4 linked regions of the Drosophila melanogaster genome follow. Each later gene encodes a partner of the first gene's protein in a complex. Each region holds a gene or a part of one and is shown in the gene's direction. Other genes may lie near its edges. The genes, in order: MED9, MED19, MED21 and MED7.

Region 1 (4,497 bases):
ACACCAAGCGCGGTGAGGCAAACATTCGGCCACCGACATTGGCAATGGTGTCCGGGCAAAGCATGCAGCCAGTTTTCGAGTAATGCTATGCCACAGATCAATATACAAATCAAATTGAATGAAATACTTATGCAAAAATAGTTTATATTTACCTTTAAAATAAAGTCAGCTACCGCCGTAACCAGCAGCACATCCTTGGAGCGAATGGCCCATTCCAGGGCGTTTCCATAACGCTCGTTATCGTAGGATCGCTTTGAAAGCACCTTGCAGATCTCCCGTTCTACGCTTATGAGCCCGCGCTGCCTGGCCAGGTTAATAAGCTTGGTGGCTTGCCGCTCGCTGCGCAAAGTGATTCGGGGCAAAAGCAGCTCGATAGCCGCCTGACCCTCCTGCTTGCAACAGTCCAGATAGTCGATGCCCAGTTGCCACATATTGTGGGACGTCATCAGATAGCTGCCGTACTCATAGATCATTGAGTGACGCAGGGCCGGAAGATCGCTGTGGGTGCATAAAATATATAGCATATTGATTGAACATAACTTCTGACAAAAAAACTCACATGTTGTTCTGATCGAAATAGCTCTTCAGCTGACCACAATGATGGATAAGATCAATCAAATGCGTTGAGAACCAGTGTGTGTCGTTAAGTTTTTGAGCATCGTATATAAATAGTCTAAGATCGTGATCCATAAGCTGAGAAACCATGCGGTTCATGCTGCACTGCTCTCTTTCCGGCCGGAGAAGACACCATCGGTTTAGCCATTTGGCTGCCGCTATTTTCAGCTCAAAGGGTTTGCAGGTGGGCTTGGTAAAGAGCAGGTATCCTGGCAGGTATTCATAGAAATCCTGGGACTCTTTGATGCCAGCATCCCACTGCTCGCTGTCGCCGGCGACCAGACGAATCAACTGCTCCAGCTCCGGCTCCGTGGCAAATAAGCCGGACTGAATCTTGCGTTCCGTATCCACGTGCCAGAACTCCCACTGCGAGTGAAACTTCTGCAGGGCATAGCCCTCTTGATACACTGGCATGGACTTCAGGATCTGTTCGGCCGCCTTGAAGCTCGTTTGTCCAGCTTTGCGATTCTGCGAGAGAACTGCTCTCGTAACATCTATTTCGCCCAGCATAATGAGTGATTTGACAATGCTCCAATAGTCATCAGATTCGCTGGCCTCCTCTCCCATGAGCAGTAGATCCGTGGCTCTGTCCTCTGCGTGCGGCGAGTGGAAACGCGCCCAGTCGAGCAGCTGCGGCACCACCAGCTGATTGCTCTGAATGTACAGAATCTCGAAGAGATGCCACAGGCATTCTGCCGCATAGAACACAACGATGGCATCACATAAGCGTTGCAGGCGCGCCTCATCTGTCTGAACCTCCGGCGATTTTTTTGCCTGCTCCAGCTTCTCCAGGCATGAGCGCACAATGCTCCTGTATGCCCGGGATATATTCACATACTCGGCACGTGTGGCCCGCGAACCCAACTGTTGCAGCGTGGCGAACGTGGCATTCGCCTCGGCGAGTACGCTGCGGAGAACGGGTTCGTCGAACAGCGTCGACTCCTGCGCCATGTAGATGAGCACCGGAACCTGTCCAGCATTCTCTGTGGGCTCATCCCGCGAACTGTGCGTCACATGCCGGTAGGCGCTGAGTGCGATTCGTGAGCCCGGCACAAAGACGCCAGTGAGTGTATTGCCACAGCGTGTGGCTAGGTCATCGCCAAGCTCCTAGATAGATTAAACGAGGTTTAATCTATTGAGTTTTTTATTTGTGCAGCTACTTACGAAGGCGAAAACACCGCTGTCGCTCATGTTGGCTTTATGTTTTTCTTCTTTATAAATTCTAAACGATTCGTTGCTTGTTATCGATAAGCAGAGGCGGCATTTGCCTGGCTCTATCGGTCTATCGTACTTCGATAGCAGGTTGTGCATCTACTACTTTTCCCTTTAGTATATTAATCGAATTAAGAGAATGTGAGGGCATTACTTTGGTATTATTACGTGTTGTCGGTAAGGTCCTATTGATTCTGACGCTGGAAATTCGATTCGTGTTTTTTATGATGGATTTGTCGCCAAACAATCAGATCGAGGACAGAAAACCCATCCTAACCGCCGACGGCCTGGTTCAGACTTCGAACTCCCCCTTCGAGCCGACCATATCGCAGGAGACGCAAACATCCAACGGAATCGGCGGCCAGTGCCATCTGACGGTTGACCAGTTGGACATTGAGATTCTGCCGATAATCTACGACATTGTGCGCTGGTGAGTGGTCATCGCGGATGCGGATTCCGGGTGTCATTGCCCCTGCACGGACAATGCCGAAAATCGGCGGATTTTAGCAACAAGTGCGCAATTAATGCCGCACCTTATATAACCTGGCGTCTTTGTGTCTTTCAGCGTGGAAAAGGATCCTCTGGAGAACGCCGTTAAGCTGCGCGAGTCCCAGGATTGCAACCACAAGGTGAGTCCTTGGTTCGTCATAAGTTGCCACCGCTATATACTTGATTTGTAGATCTTTGAACTTCAAAAACGCTTCGAATCGGCACGCGAGCAAATCCGCCAGCTCCCCGGGATCGATTTCAATAAGGAGGAGCAGCAACAGAGACTGGAACTACTGCGAAATCAGCTGAAGCTTAAGCAGCAGCTAATTCGCAAATACAAGGACACAGAGTTCTAGGCGGCAGCAAAATAAAAAAAAGGGCAAGATGGTGCTGCGACTGCTAATGCGCTACCTGGCCAACAACGAGCAGCTCATCCAGCGCATGGCGGAGAGCTATCCCATGAGACGCGCTGCCCAGTTGGTCGTTTCCCTGATGTACCGCACAAAAGACTTGGCCCGGGAGCAGGGACTGCACGAGATGACGCCAGAGCGTTTCAAGTGAGTGAAAGAATCGCCAGAATCATCTGGCTGAATCCGCCAATCTGACATGCATTTTCCAAATTGTAGATCCTTCGTTAACATGTTTAAGAACAACGTGCGCCAAGAGCTGGAGGGAGTGAAGAAGGAGCTTAATAGCAAGAAAAAGAACTAGGGTTCAGTAATTAACTTGTTTAACTACAATTGTATATACGCGGCAAGATAAATTTTAGTAAACACAGATGAATAAACATTGAAGCCAGAACATTATCTTCGGTGAATGAACCTTATTTTTGTAGAATAGGAAATTGCTTTTATTAAGGTAATTAGGAAACAAAGAAATCCTTATTCATTGCCATTTTATCTTAACACTTAAAAACAAAAGAGAACTTCAGATTGTCATTCTGAAACTATCGTTTTACAAAAAAATCAAATAATAACCTAATGTCTGCATTTACAACGCTTTCAACGTAATTTGCGTCAGCAAATTTGTTTTCATTTTCAGTTTGCATAGACATTAAACTCATCTTAAACTATAAGATTTTAATTTAAGATTCCAATTTATAAAGTCGTGTCTATTTAAGTTTATCGAGAGATAATTTAATATCATGTACACAAGTAGCATCTGGTTCAACCTGCGTTTATTCAGTGAAAAGACAAATGAAATCCATGCTGCAGTGACGTCGGTTGTCTTAAGTCTAGTGAACAAACAAAATATAGAATTTGGTTTGGCATATAGCACAATGTACAGTGGACAAGAACGGGACACGAAATAGTTTATTGGGGCACATGCCACTTTAGATTAGAAGGTCGCAAAATAAATTCATCCAATTATCTTTAAGAATTTGAAAAAAAAATACTTTAGTTTACAAAACTAGAAAGAGCCAAAACATGCAGGCGGCGCACTTCACTCGGTGAGAGCGGCCGGTGTGACTTCAACCGAGGACGACGACGAAGGATTCTCGCCGAGGGGCAGACCCAAAGAGGCCGAGCCATTGGATGGATCCACCCCAACGCCGCCGGACGGAGTCGGGCGATTATTTCTTTTCCGCTTGCCACCTCGCCGGCTGCCACCCTCGCGCTTGTCGCCGTTCTGCTTCTCGTCGGCGTTGTCCTTGCTGCATCCGGCGCCCGAGGAGCTGCCCTGGCCCTGCTGGCGGTGCTGGTTGTTACTGCCGTTGCTGCCGCCGTTATGTGAGCGCGACTGCATCTTGGCGGGCTTGGGGCGATATGGGCTAGCGGCAGCATTCGGTAGCGGACGCAGTATATTGCCAACAGCCTTGGTGCGTCCCTCGCGAAAGACCAGGCGCTGACCGGCGCGTATGTACTCCGGCTGCTTGATGAACCGGAATTTCACATGTGCCTTGTCGCCTGTTCGCAGGCAGTCGCGCGACATGTGTATGATTGAGGCCGTCTGGCGGATGCTGCCGCAGTGGACCATGGCCTGGTAGCGCGCCGATATCGTCGTCGGATGGTGGAGCACTAGTATCTCTCCCTCGAACTCCCAGCAGGCTTGCGGTTTGAGATCCTGCGACACCATTACCATGCCCTTGCGCAGATAGGCGCGCTTTATTTTCTTTAACGCAAAGCTTGCTGTTTGGCCACAGCGCACGCGTGCCACGTTCATGCGCTTGCGATGGATGCT
Region 2 (5,978 bases), on another chromosome or scaffold:
GTCTTGGCACGAGAGTTGGCCAGGAAGGGGAACTTGCCCACCTTGTAGGCAACACCCTCCTGCTTCAGTTGCTCCTCGCTCTTGCCAACCCACGCGACCTCGGGATGCGTGTAGACTACACTGGGCACGCAGTTGTAGTCGATGTGCACGTGGCCGCCGTTGATGCCCTCAATGGTGATGAGGCCCTCATCTTCAGCCTTGTGCGCCAACATGGGTCCGTGGATGCAGTCGCCGATGGCGTAAATATTGGGCACCACAGTTTGGAAAGTGGCGTTGACGGGGATCCTGCCGCGGTCATCCTTAACAATGCCCACGGCCTCCAGACCCAAACCTTCGGTGTAGGGACGACGTCCAACACTGACCAGCAGGGCGTCGCACTGGATCTCCTCTTTCTCGCCAGACTTGGCGTTCTCCACGGACACGGTGACGTTGTCGCCGCTGCGAGAGGCAGCCGTCACCTTGGTGCCCAGCTTGAACTTAAGACCCTGCTTGGTGAGCACCTTTTGGAACGTCTTGGAGACTTCGTTATCGATGCCCACGCCGCCGATCGTATCCATGAACTCAATGGCAGTGACCTCAGCGCCCAGACGCGACCATACCGAACCCAGCTCCAGGCCAATGACACCGGCGCCGATGACAACCAGATGCTTGGGCACCTTGGCCAGCTTCAGGGCGCCAGTGCTGCTCACAATAACTTCCTCGTCGATCTGTGAAGGTTTTTGAATGGCATGCATTAGTAATCAAGCGCGCTGTAGAGGTTTTGCACTTACTTCAATGCCAGGGAAGGGGGTAACCTCCGAGCCGGTGGCGATGAGGATGTTCTTGGTCTTGACAGTCTCCGTGGAGCCGTCGGATTTCTTAACCTCCACCTCGTTGGGATTGACGATGGTGCCGAAGCCCGTCAGCTGTGTGACCTTGTTCTTCTTGAAAAGCATGGCAATGCCACCGGTCAAAGCCTTCACGGCGTTGGACTTTTGACCCATAAGCTTCTCCAGATCCAGGCTAACGCTGCCGCAGCTAATACCACGTTTCTCCAGATCACCGGAGTGGGCCATGTGGTAGTAGTGGGAGTTGTTCAGCAGCGCCTTTGAGGGAATGCAGCCAACATTCAGGCAGGTGCCGCCCAGAGTTGCCTCCTTCTCCACGCTGACCGTCTTCATGCCCATCTGGGCGGCCTTGATGGCGGCGACATAGCCACCGGGTCCGGAGCCAATCACCACGATGTCCGCCTCGTGGGTGCTGGAGTAGCAGCGGGCGTTGAGGGCACCCAGAATGGCGGCATTGGTGCGCAGAGGAGTCTGTAAAGACGGCAGATTACTACATGTTGTGGCACCTTATCATTTATCACGCCAGTCGCACGCATTTCGCACTAATCTTCGGCCGACTATCAGCTGATAATTGGCCTAATTAGCGACCTTGAAAACGGGGCCAAACAAATCCCCAAACGCCAGTGAATCACCCACCGGGATCATATGAGCACTGCAGGTGATCCAAGTGCATTTTCCAGCCTTTTCCTGCCCATTTCTCGACCCCCTCGGTGAGGTTAGATTGCATAACTTGAGGGGCGATGGCGTTTGGGGAATCGGTTATGTCGCCCGATCCTTACCTTGGCTACTGCCGAAACAACATGACGGAGCGTGAATTGCATGGCTGGTGCGGGCGAGTTATGAGGATAATCGTTATTTAACTACAAACACAACACTAGTTTGATGTGTGTTTTTCCGACTGTTTTTCGTGTTGTGGGGCTCGGAGCGGTCGCAGGGCTGGCGATGTGCATTCGATAGTGGTCATATGATGGCCGCGATGCTATCGATTGTTTTGGTGATTTTCCACTCTGTTGGAATTTGAAATTCTAAAACATTTTCGTATGAAAAAGATGTGTATAAAAATATTAGCTTGATGATCGTTCAAAATACGATATGTCCGTCACTCAATTGCTAGTTTATACAATATTCACTTTATGGGTCATTTGTTGTAGCAAAAGCTACCTAAAAACAAGCCAACTATACGTGTAAGCCGGCTTTTATAGTTTTGGCACCCATTAATTAATGTTTTTGTACGTATAAAATAAACTGTAATAAATAAACTGTAAAATAACTGTTTTAAAAATATATAACTCAACGTACATACGATACATATATAATAAGAGTTCCAAAGTAATATTAACTTTATTATATCTATAGGTAATTAAAAATGTATTATACGATGAATATTCGATAGTTTGCCCTACAGTACAACCCTGTGTGGTATTCCCCATCTGGGATATTTCCCACAACACTTTTGGTATTTTCACGTCGCGTTCATCTCGCGTTTTCGTTGAAGCCTCAGTATTTCGCTAGCTGTCGCAATGCGGTCACACTGGTTCGCGGACACAACAAGATGGCGAGACTTGCCCCCGAAATCTGTTAGAAAACGCCACAAGAGCAAATAATTAGTTCAGTTTTCGACCAGAAAAGAGTCAGCCGAAGTGCCGGGCAGACGCGGCGCATTTTGCAGAGTGTGAGCTTGGCCAGCGTTGCCCGAGAGCCGCGACAGGCGACACCTTCTGCTGGCCTTGCCTTGTTGCTGTGCCCCTGTGTGCGTGAGCGTGTGCGGTGCGGTGCGATTGTGTGCGTGGGTTGCCAAGAGTGAAGAGAATCGCTGAGTTTCCAAGATGATGAGCAACTACGGCAACATGATGGACTCACCGAAGTCATCGCCCCACGGCGGCGGCCGATCACCCGTGGTGGCCCGTCAAGACTCATCCGGCACCCTGAAAACGACCATTTCGCTGGGCAAGACGCCAACGATCATTCACACGGGGCCATTTTACTCCATGAAGGAACCACCCGCCAAGGCAGAACTTACCGGCGACAAGGATCTCATGACCGAGTACGGACTGCACCACACACTCACCAAGTTCAAGGAGAAGAAGTTCAAGGAGTCGCTGGCCTCGTTTCTGCAGAACATCCCCGGCATTAACGACCTCATCACGCATCCCGTGGAGAATAGCACGCTGCGGAGCGTGATCGAAAAGCCGCCCATTGGTGGAAAGGAGCTTCTTCCGCTGACTCCCGTGCAGCTGGCCGGATTCCGCTTGCATCCCGGACCGGTTGGTTTTTCCAATATGCTTTTAATTCGCTTGCTCAGTTTGAAAAATGACGAATCTTTAGATACGGCACATTGAACATCTTAGAATACATTTAGACGCTATTCAATGCTTTGCGTCTCTATACATTTGCATGCATTAATTTCGCTTTTTAAAATTTGCATATGAAATTTGGATTTAAGTGTCCTTGCACAGACTGATCTACTATAAAGTGTTATTTGGTCGCACCTTTTCTGTCACTTATTTCTATAATCACCGTAGTATTTTAGAGTTGTAATTCATTTTCCTTATGTTCAACAACAAATTTGAAACACAAATATTTTAGTCATTAATCACAAAAATTACTTAAATTAACAAGAGTGTAAATGTTGGTTTTCCCTTTAAACCTCTTTTGAACAGTGTATATTAAGTCAGTAGTTCGCAACGCAGTGATCTATATGAACAGCTGAGTCGATAAGGCCATGTCCGCCTGCCCGTTTTCTTTCAGTTTTAAATTTTTGTTGCAAGTAGTGCATAAATCAGAACGCGCCAGTTTAGGCCACTAATTCATATTGCTGCCATATGGTTTAATATTATGATATTCAAAAAAAAAAAAAAAACTAACCTTCCTTGTTGACGGATTGTCCTTCCTTTCTTGTTATTGAAATATTGGCATTTAATATTATTGAGAGTTTTCTTTCACCCTATATGCAATCTAATAATAATAATAATTCATCTTAAAAGGTTTCGTGAAATATTTTTTACATGTCATATATTTCAAACAATGGATAAATCGTTACTAGAACAAATTGCATAAAATATATTATTTTTTTCCTCTGCACTTTCACATTGCTAATTTATCCGATTCTGGTGCTCCTTTCAGCTGCCGGAACAGTATCGTACCACATATGTCACACCTGCGCGTAAACACAAAAACAAACACAAAAAGCAAAAACACAAAGACGGGGTGACCACGGGACAGGAATCCACGCTGCTCGGTAAGCAATCTGCTGAATTATCGAGCAACTCGATCACACATAATCCAATGATAACCATCTTGCAGACTCGGCCGGCCTGGAGACTTACGAGAAAAAGCACAAGAAGCAGAAACGCCATGAGGACGACAAGGAGCGCAAGAAGCGCAAAAAGGAGAAAAAGCGTAAAAAGAAAAACCAGAGCCCCGAACCGGGCGTGGGCTTGCTGCCCGGAGGAGCGAGCTTGGGCGGAGCAGCGGGTGTAATGGGAGCCACTAGTCTGGGATCGCTGGGAGGAGGACCTGGAGGACCCGGGCTGTCCAGCCTTAGTGCCAGTATGGGACCTGGCGTTGTGGGGAACATGAATAGCTTCTCCTCATCGATGCAGATGCAGCAGCAACAGCAGATGCCCATGCAGCAACAGCAGATGTCAAGTGGCGGTCTGCTGGGATCTGTGCTGGGCACTAGTGGCGGTCCAGGTGGCGGCGGCGGAGGAGGAGGTGGTGGCGGGGGCGGCGTCGGTGGGAGTCTGCTTATGTCGCAGTTTTAGGCAGGATCCTTTAGCAAAATAGACTTGGCTCATTACCTCTCATCAGCAGACGCACCCCAAATGGCAACATAAAAAAAACGCAGAGGGCCTCGGTCCTCTACATGCAATTTTCTCGATATCGTTTCGTGTCCTAGTTATTAATTTATGATTATTGTAAATGTAAAATAGTTTATTTCTGTAATTAGCCAACAATTTTTCGTTCGTTTTCGCGCTAGCTTAATGAGATTTATTTAAACGCAAGTTATGGTACAAAACGCAAGAACGTTTTCGCTCTCGATTCCAGCTCTTCCCTCCACACAAACACACCCCTCGCCACGCCGCCACAAAAACGCTGCTTTGCAACCTCTTTAATTTGCTTACCAACCTTGTAACGTGTGTAGGGTCAGTATTTCAATTAAATTTCTGCAATGGTTTGTTCTTCCAGCAAGTTTATAAACACAAAAGAAAGCTGAGATTCAACAAAATAAAAATGCCTGTACTATAAGTAATTAATTTTAGTGATTAGGCACATAAAACAATAAACAAGCATAAAAATGATCAAAGTGTGTGTTTACAATAGTTTGGGGAGCTTAGTTCATTTTTCGAATATAAGCATTTGTTGCACAGAAGTTCTGCTTCCAAGGAGCCCTTAAATTCAAATTTGGCGCCAAACACTTGTTAGCACTCTGTTGACTTTAACATGGCGCATTAACAGCTACGCTGAAATCTGACAGATAGTAACATAGCCTTAACAGGCGCCAACAGCTGCTTTAATTCTCAGGGAGTTTCTCGCAATCGAGAGTCAATTAATAAATTAAAAGTGATGTGTATAAGATAGTCGTCGCTGCAAAGCCATAGATGAGTTGTAACTTCGCCAGATTTTCGCGACAGGCAGCTATCAACATGTACAAGCAGTCGTGCACCAATCTCCTGGAATTATCCTCCGCCAAGGTGACCGAGTGGCTAGCAGGCTTCGACAGTGTAATAACCGACTGCGATGGTAAGTCGGTGGTGGGGATGAGATACTACTAACTCGCACCCACCCAGGATTCCCCCCAGGAAGTTGCGTTACATAAAGATATGTGTATACCACATTCTGCCCAAATACGTCAGCAGCCAATAGTTTCTGTATTGTGGCTGCGTCGTTTATTTCAATGTCAAAGAGTGAAGTGCGTGATATGGCGGGAAGTCGACTTTCGGATGCCCTCATATCTTGTTAATCATCGTTATATTTAGTAAAGAGTAAAGCAGTAAAGAGCCGTTTGATAAATTCCCTAATGCTCATAGTGATGAGCCCTAAGTTTATTAATATTAGACAATCTTATCAATTCAAGGAAATCGTTATTATATACGCAATATCAAAAGTTGTGTTCAACCCCATTATTTATTAATTTTATGCAATAATGCC
Region 3 (4,330 bases), on another chromosome or scaffold:
CAATAATGCCTTCATAAGTTGAGCGCCGTCTCTCTTTACAACGCAACCATGCATACATTGCTTTCGTTTCGGGGCAATTCGATGATCGAGCACCCTTACCTTCAACTAACTCGAAAAACAAGCTTTTGCTCTCGCGGAGCGAAAAGACCGCCTCTCCTACACCGCTCCCCACACAGCCACAATCGAACATTCCGGGTAACTGTAACACTGCAATAACAAGTGCAGTGACCTCCCTAGAAACTGTCACTGCTACCACAACAACAACTTCGTTAGCGGCCCAACTAATCGCTGTGCCAGCTGTAAATAATTCTGCAACACCGACCATTGGCAACAACAATAATGGACGTAAAAAAAGAACCAAAACAAAAGCAGAAGGCGATTGCCAAGAATACGGCCACACCAAGGCATACTGCTGTGTGGTTTAACGTATAGCAAATACATACAACAAAGTCAATTTCTGCTCTCCGCATTCGATGTTTCAACCACCCTTAACTGTCCCAAGCACTACTCTTGGAATTTTCTTCGCTAGCGCCTTAAAATCCGGACTAGAAGTCCCCGCCTCACCGACTAGAACTGCTCATTCCGAACATAAATTGACAAATATGCAACAAACTGAACAAAGTGGCATTGAAGCTATGATGCTATCCCTACAGAAAAGCATGAAATATTTCATAACGATCAAAACGTGCAAAATTTCCTGATACAACTTCTTGTATCTTCAAAATCCCCATGCTGGCTTCCCTACGGATATCTATTCACTTCATACACAAGAACTCACACAGTTCATTACCGAAAAAAACACTGGAGTAATGCTACTATCAGAAACGCACCTCACAAATCATTCAGATGGTAAAGCTCTTGGAGGCACTGGCATACTAATCAGAAATCGCATAAAAACCACCTCAATCTACGTCCATAGTCTAACTACTCAACAATGGTTCAATGACTCTAGCCGCAGTCTACTGCCCACCACGCTATCCAATACATACTGACCAGCAGACCCAAGAAAAATCCCAGACCCAGATCACACATAGAACTAACGCCGGCATTATCTGCTAAGGAAAATATAGACAAGTCAACGGACACTGTTGAAAATATTCTAGTTTCGGGTGCAAAGTGACGTATGCCCACCAGCACTAAGAACCTTTTGTAGAGAAAAGACAGTGATGAGAAAAGAGCCAGAGCAGTTGCTGACCACTTACAAATTTTATTTCTACCAAATCCTGCTATAAAGTCATTATTCTCCCTCCTTTAGCAGAAGCAAACTTAGATTATGTGAATTAGCAAAGGTTATCAAAAAGCAACTGAAGCGATTTTGGCTTCGACCTAATAACTCAAAAAATCCTTATTGAACTCCCAGTGTGATGTTCTGCACATGTGCTTGTTGTTCAACGCAATCGCCAAGCATGGATACTTCCCTCAAAAATGGAAAAAATCTACCATAGTAATGATTCCAATGCCAGGAAAAGATAAAACGCAGCCATCATCATATAGACCGATACAGTAACTAACTTATCTCTAAAATTTATTTGAAAAAATGCTACTCCTGGGAATAAGCCCTCGTCATGGAAAAAACATGGAACCATCGAACAGGCCAATCGAATCACGTCAGAAATTCGTACTGCTTTTGAGCATCGAGAATATTACACAGCCATTTTACTAGACGTCGCGCAGGCATTTGACAGTGTTTCTGGATGGACTTTTGCTTAAACTAGCCAAGCTATTGTTCCAAAACATACATAAGCTACTGAAGTCGCAATAAGATGCAAGGAACCTTCACTGGCTCATGCTCGCTCTCCACTTAGCGTGGAGTTCAAAGCTCTCCTATACAACTCCGTCTTAAAACCAATCTGGACTTATGGCTCCGACCTGTGGGGCATCCATTCAGCGAGAACAGCCAACAATTCTGAGAATTCTGACTAGAGCGTGATACCTTCGGAACGAAGACATACACAGAGAGAAAAAAATCAAATTATTTATCGAAATAATAACTGAGAAGAAAATTAAAATACCTAGTAAAACTGACCACCCATTCAAATCCCCTCACAAGAAAACTAATCGGAGGCACAAAGTGTTCGTATCATAAAATCTTTGTTGCTTTTAAAAACCTTTAAAAAACAAGAGAGGTAGCTTTAAAATTTTTCATATGACATCTTTAAGATATGGTGAACCGATTTAGATATGTTAAAAATTAAAAGAATAATTATCGTGAAAAAGGGTACGGCTGTTCTTACTGATATTTATACCCACTTAATTGGACTGAAATGCTTTTTTCACTTCGTTGCAAGCTTATAACTGAAATCGATATACCCTCCTCAAGGATATACCAAGATTGTGTGAGAGAGGTTGCAGACTACTTGGAGACCAACTGCTTCCTTGTTATAACCGAAATTGTGATGATTTTGAACAAGACAAGAGGGATCGATGTGCAACGTGTGGTCATATATTATGGAGATTCCACTGTTTCCGACAATCTTATGGTAGTTTATATCGTTGGAATGAAGACATTATTATGGCACAGTGTGAACAAGAATAATTCGTCTCATTGAAAGAAATCACGTTTTAGTGTGGAACTCATATTAATAGCATTTCTTTTTTTAAGAGAATAGTCGCTGCTGTGAGGTATCTGTAAATAAGACATAAAATCAATCGATAAATAAATGCTTATATATTATAAAAATCACCAACGGTCATTGTATGTTGATATTATGTTGATTATGTTATGTTGATATTAAAAATGTTAATCAAAATTTGAACTGGCTAATCAAACTTAATTCCATATAATTTTTTGTTTTTCAGAATTATTAACTCTGTAGTAAAATGGCGGATCGGCTTACACAATTGCAAGACACCGTTAATCAGGTAAGTGACTTCGTATTAAGAAATAACCAGTTTTTTATGTAAAATAATCATTGCAGCAAGCGGAGCACTTCTGCAATGCTATTGGTGTAATTCAACAAACGTCCCTTCCAAGTAAATTTGTTAATTTTGAACGCATTGGACCCCAAACGCCAATCCCATGTCCGCCGCAAGAAGACTATGCCCAATTATTTGCACAGTTAATTGCACGATGTGCTAAAGACATCGACACCTTAATCGAGTCTCTTCCAAATGAAGACAGCTCCATTGAACTCCAAAATTCTAGCCTTAAGAGGCTCGAGATCGAAAACCAGGGAACTGCAAGAGACCTAGAGGAAGTAGTGCAAAAAGGCGAACTTTTGCTAGAAAAAATGCAGTATTCTTTGGAATGCATTGCTCAGGCTCAATTAGATATGCAAATAACACTCAAACATGATTTACAATAGCTGCTTAACACATTTTTGTATAAAGGCAAATTATTTTTAAATTTAAGATAATGTATTTATTGCATTTTCGTTCGTGTTTACAGATCAAATGGGTTTTAGTATATACATATTGTTTTTATAAGTAAAGTATTTTAGCTTAATTTAGACCTAAACCATTTTGAACAGCACCTCTGACCTCGTTGATATAATTTTTATAATAATTAATTATAGTTTTAAGTTATAAAAAAAACTATATATACTTACACGTACCCCACTTTGGATTTTATGAACAAATTAAATTTATGTGCTCTAAAATATTTAATTCATTGTTGTAAATAAGTATTAGTTAAGTGTACCCCGACATCCTTGGGCGCCGCATAGACAAGGTATTTTTTCGTCTTCTAGTGGAAATTTATAGTCGTAAGTTATTTCCTCGTTGATACCAATGGGTTGCTTTGAATATATTACTATCTTCTTTTCAGATTCAATAGTTATAACCTTAGCGTAGCAATTCGGCTGAAAAACAAAATTTTATGTTGGTAACATAATGTCAGAACATCCAGCTTACTTACATTGCAACTGTGATTTATAAACCGAGCTAAGTTTCCACATTTAGTTGCGTCAATTATAGTTTCCATGTCAATTCGAAACAAATAGGAACTCCCAATCCCAATTGCTTCATACTTTGTTTCTCTTAGATCAGCAACTACAGGTCGAATCATCTGACCAACATATTCAATAACCATTTCGTCTGCAGCTATGGGCTCCATTGCAAATAATCCCCAATCATGTATCGCAGATTTTGCAAACTTAAGCTGTTTCTTCCGAAACTTTAGCTGATTAAATTTTAAAAGCTCAGACTCACCCATAGAACCAAAGGCTGTTAAAAGTCTTCTCTGGTTTGAGCGAGCTTCGCGGGAAATTCCTTGCATTTTAGAAATTAATTTATTGTGATGATGATTTGTAAGTGCTGTAGGTTCATCGCTCCGATCTTCATTAAAGGAATCTTCTGTATTGGCTTTAGCATAATGGTACTTATGCTTAGC
Region 4 (3,977 bases), on another chromosome or scaffold:
AACAATTATTATATCGCTAAATGCAGATTAAAAGAGGATAAGATTTCTTTTTTTTAAAGGACTGATTATTATGTAACTTAAATATTATAATGAAATCATCTTATGTTTAATCAAAATACTGGTGCTATCTTTAAAATTAATTAGACTTTCAACATTTAGGTCAAATAATCTCCCCAAATTCTTTAATGCCGGCTGATAAGAAAGAATTTAAGTGAATTATAATGTAAAAATATTTATTTAGGATGTGATCTATCTCTGAATAACTTGTTATTTTTATGAATGAACTGTCTACGTTTTTAGCTTCACTTGTCTGGTTAATTTCTCATTTCTTTATATACTCTGTTTGTTATTTGTTTTTGGAAGCACGAGAACGTGCCCTATCGTCCATTAACGGCAAGCCGGCTTCTGTGATATTAATGCAAACAAAGCCGAAGGGGGCGTAAAGTGAAGCTCGATAAGCGGAATTCTGGACCGAAAAGAGCCAGCAATGGCGACAAGTGGGGAGCACGTGGCCTTGTCTTTCTCCATCTTCTTAACTCTTCAGTTCTGAGTTAAACTTACGCAGCACTTCCGCTAGGGGTCTCCTTCTGCAACTCCGATGTGAGCAGGGCTTCGATCTGGTGCTCCACCACCTGGCACAGGTACTCCACTCGGTCTCCATAGATCTTGCCGCAGTACTGGAGGGCACTTCCTGCGGCCACGATGGCCGATCTTCGAGAGACATCATTTCGTCCTAAGCAGTGGCGCAGTAGCTCTTCAATATACTGAAAATATAAGCAATGTATTTGAGGATCTGCAGGCTTTTGTGTTCACTGTAAATAAAATAATAGATTTTCTTGAAAACCCATTTATATAATTTTAGTTAAAATACCAGTTATCGAGGCATGACTGTAAAACCCACGCACGTTGCGTCACACTTTTATTTTGATCTTTCTGCTCTTCGGCGGTTTTGCTTATCTTGATAATAGTGGTCTTCAACACTCACATATCCCAGTGATATCCGTAGGTCCGTGGAGTAGTCCGTGTTTTTGGAGAGCTCTTCGAGGAGGACGACTAGCGAGGCCAGGTCCTGTTGCTCATCGTAGGCGCGGATGCACTTGGCCACTTGGGTTCCCGGCCGATTCTTGGCTATTTCCAATATCTGCTCCCGCGCTTCGCTCAAGTAGGCTGTGAATTAAATAGAAACCGATTGGATTTACTTAAGCAAAAACCACACACCCAATCGCAGATCCGCTTTATTGTTTATTTCGGCCCTCCCCATACACACACACACACACTCGCATAGAAGCACCAACACACGCGGTATACTGGAAATAGCGCTGACTTAATCAATGGGAAACGAAGATCACGCCTGGGGCTGTCCTGCGTTGGTTACCTAAGTTCTGGATGCTTACCCGCTTCCGCTTCTTCAGGCAAAATCCGCTCCATGGCTCACTAGATGACACTAGGAAAAGTTTGTTTTATGTCCGGTTTTGCACATTTTACTGGCATCGTGCACAAGCACTGCAAGCACGCACACACGCTGAGTGGGGAAATCAAAATGGTGGAGGCAGCACGGCTTGTCTCTTAGTTGGGTCCAGTTATGTTATGGTTTTACGTTTTGTTTTCATTTCTTTGGCAGGAACAGGAATATTGGCGCGAATCGGTGCTGGAACAATTAGCTATTCACATCAAGATATATATGTGTTTCTTATTTTGTTGTGCTCTACCGACGAATGAGGGAAGAGACGGAGAAAAATTGCTATGGCAATGCTGTAGGGGGTGCATGCAAGCATGGTCACCTTTAAGTTATCGATAGCTAGGCACGGTGAATCATTTATTATTTCGAGCTCGATTAATATCTAATTTAATTTTTGTAATTGTAAATTATTTGTCAGTGTCTCAAAACATATTATAATAAATTCTGCTTATTATTGCATTGTCTAGCTTCAAACCTCTAGTGTGCTCATTTTTAAGAAAACAATTTGAGTGATAGTGTCATCACTATCGTGAGTGATTCGCCTGTCTCAGGTGCCATCACTTCTTCAAAACAAAAATCATTTATTATTTTTGTATTTCCGCACTTGTTAATCTCATAATGTCCAACCAGGAGACCCAGGTTTCCAGCCTGCCGATGCCGCCGGAGCGGTACATCGCCAATTACACGGACGAGAATATCCGCCGCAACCGAGCGCCACGCCCACCGCCGCCGCCGGCGCAGCACGAAGTCTATAGCATGTTTGGCATCCAGTACAACAACGACGAGATGATCCGCAGCTTGGAGTCCCAGAATATTAAGCGACTGATCCCCATCCATTTCGATCGGCGCAAGGAGCTCAAGAAGCTTAACCACTCCCTCTTGGTCAACTTCCTAGATCTCATTGACTTTCTTATCCTGAATCCTGACAGCCCGCGGCGCACGGAAAAGGTGAGTCAATTGACCCATTAAAATGTAGCATCTATTGTATTACACTCATTTGATATCTTAGATTGACGATATCAGTCTGCTGTTCGTCAACATGCATCACCTCCTCAATGAATTTCGCCCACATCAGGCGAGGGAAACGCTGCGCGTCATGATGGAAATGCAGAAGCGGCAGCGCGTTGAGACCGCCGCCCGTTTCCAAAAGCACTTGGAACGTGTGCGCGAGATCGTTAATACCGCCTTCTCAGCTCTGCCGGTTCTAGATGATGACGACGATAGCGGCGGAGCAAAGATTAAGACGGAGGTGGATCCGTTGGAGGCGAATGCGGCGGCCAAGAATGATCCCAGTTACCAGCACGATCGCATGTTGTGCAAGCTTGTGGACGCTATCGAGTAAGCTGAGTTGGCAAAAGACTGGACATCGACGCTGGAAATAGTGTCAATCATTGTGAATGGCTTGGAAAAAAGAGCTCCTCATATTTATAACTCCTTTTAGTATAAGAAATAAAACCCCAATTGTGGGATGAGAATCTTGCACGTCTAATGAGTAATTCATTCAATGGGAATTAATGTGTTAAGTCATCTTTGAGATAAGCTTTACACAGATAAGATCCGAGATAAAGGCTCATGATTAAGCATCCCACAAATTTCACCATTAAAATGACGTAGTCAGCGTGGAGTAATAATATAGTCAAATGTCATAAATTAATAATCTATCTAGAACAATTTATTCAGGATAGGAATAACAATATAAATGTATATATTTAATTGTAAAAATTGTAAAGACATGTGACATGACATGAGACATGAACACCTCACACGTTTTCCTACTTTTAATGGGTGCTACCGCATGGCATCATCGTGGCTAGCCGAAATATGCTCGTACAGTGCGTTTCATAATGTACATATACATATGTGGTTTTAATGAATTTGTATGGAGTTTCATCAAAATTACTAATTTTGTTTGATAAACATGATTAAAAAGTCAATAGAGATATTCATTCACAACTGGAGTATAATGTTTTCCCTAAAATTTTTTTAACTCACTGTGCCCTTTACAAAATCCAACGTGTTTTTCTAAATAAACATGGTTTAATACGTTTATTAGCTTTCTTAGATTGTAAAGCCCGCGATAAGAGAGATGTAGTTAAGTGAATCTTCACTTTTATTGAAGTAATCTCCGATAAAAGGAGGTGCCATGCGCTCTAGATGATCATTTCTCGTGCAGCATTGCAAGTGTGCAAGTCGGTTGAATAGGAATATTTTGAAAACCCTTAACTCATTGACTTTGAACTTAATTTTTTAAAGAACTTGTGGTTGCGCTTTTTAATTAAGAACTGCATCGTATTAATTGAACAATCAATTTCAAGAGCAAGCCGATTGTGAAAACCCATGGTGACAAACAGTAATAGCTAAGATGTCGGAAAAGAATATTAAAACAGCGATTCCAGAGAAAAGCAAAGGTAAAGGGTTAAAAAATAATTGGCAACTAACTACGATGGAGTAGAAAAAACCTTATAAACCCAATAAAACAGAGCTTCCTTAAAAAGTGCATTGTTTTTAAGAAGTATCA

The links.
Region 2: MED9 (region 1) and MED19 share a complex: the UniProt entries of both Drosophila melanogaster proteins name them as parts of the mediator complex.
Region 3: MED9 (region 1) and MED21 share a complex: the UniProt entries of both Drosophila melanogaster proteins name them as parts of the mediator complex.
Region 4: MED9 (region 1) and MED7 share a complex: the UniProt entries of both Drosophila melanogaster proteins name them as parts of the mediator complex.

The regions. Positions count from the first base shown.
Region 1 is NT_033778.4:18,165,266-18,169,762, forward strand, and holds MED9 (mediator complex subunit 9), read left to right. Parts: upstream 1-1,989; 5' UTR 1,990-2,051; coding exon 2,052-2,257; intron 2,258-2,392; coding exon 2,393-2,456; intron 2,457-2,507; coding exon 2,508-2,672; 3' UTR 2,673-2,700; coding exon of another isoform or gene 2,701-2,873; intron 2,874-2,942; coding exon of another isoform or gene 2,943-3,027; 3' UTR 3,028-3,115; downstream 3,116-4,497. Other genes in the region: Nup75 (nucleoporin 75kD), read right to left, coding at 1-85, 153-498, 560-1,722, 1,780-1,806; CG42518 (uncharacterized protein), read left to right, coding at 2,701-2,873, 2,943-3,027; Dgp-1, read right to left, coding at 3,760-4,497. UniProt on the Drosophila melanogaster protein: Component of the Mediator complex, a coactivator involved in the regulated transcription of nearly all RNA polymerase II-dependent genes.
Region 2 is NT_037436.4:17,842,867-17,848,844, reverse strand, and holds MED19 (mediator complex subunit 19), read left to right. Parts: upstream 1-2,343; 5' UTR 2,344-2,653; coding exon 2,654-3,091; intron 3,092-3,950; coding exon 3,951-4,065; intron 4,066-4,130; coding exon 4,131-4,591; 3' UTR 4,592-5,120; downstream 5,121-5,978. Other genes in the region: CG7430 (uncharacterized protein), read right to left, coding at 1-707, 771-1,298, 1,607-1,648; CG5567 (uncharacterized protein), read left to right, coding at 5,429-5,570. UniProt on the Drosophila melanogaster protein: Component of the Mediator complex, a coactivator involved in the regulated transcription of nearly all RNA polymerase II-dependent genes.
Region 3 is NT_037436.4:25,114,194-25,118,523, reverse strand, and holds MED21 (mediator complex subunit 21), read left to right. Parts: upstream 1-2,577; 5' UTR 2,578-2,695; exon of another isoform or gene 2,696-2,799; 5' UTR 2,800-2,820; coding exon 2,821-2,862; intron 2,863-2,918; coding exon 2,919-3,305; 3' UTR 3,306-3,600; downstream 3,601-4,330. Other genes in the region: Set1 (SET domain containing 1), read right to left, coding at 3,627-3,800, 3,857-4,330. UniProt on the Drosophila melanogaster protein: Component of the Mediator complex, a coactivator involved in the regulated transcription of nearly all RNA polymerase II-dependent genes.
Region 4 is NT_033777.3:10,759,034-10,763,010, reverse strand, and holds MED7 (mediator complex subunit 7), read left to right. Parts: upstream 1-1,978; 5' UTR 1,979-2,077; coding exon 2,078-2,407; intron 2,408-2,468; coding exon 2,469-2,801; 3' UTR 2,802-2,940; downstream 2,941-3,977. Other genes in the region: Cap-H2 (chromosome associated protein H2), read right to left, coding at 562-764, 986-1,167, 1,395-1,428; CG31272 (uncharacterized protein), read left to right, coding at 3,822-3,867. UniProt on the Drosophila melanogaster protein: Component of the Mediator complex, a coactivator involved in the regulated transcription of nearly all RNA polymerase II-dependent genes.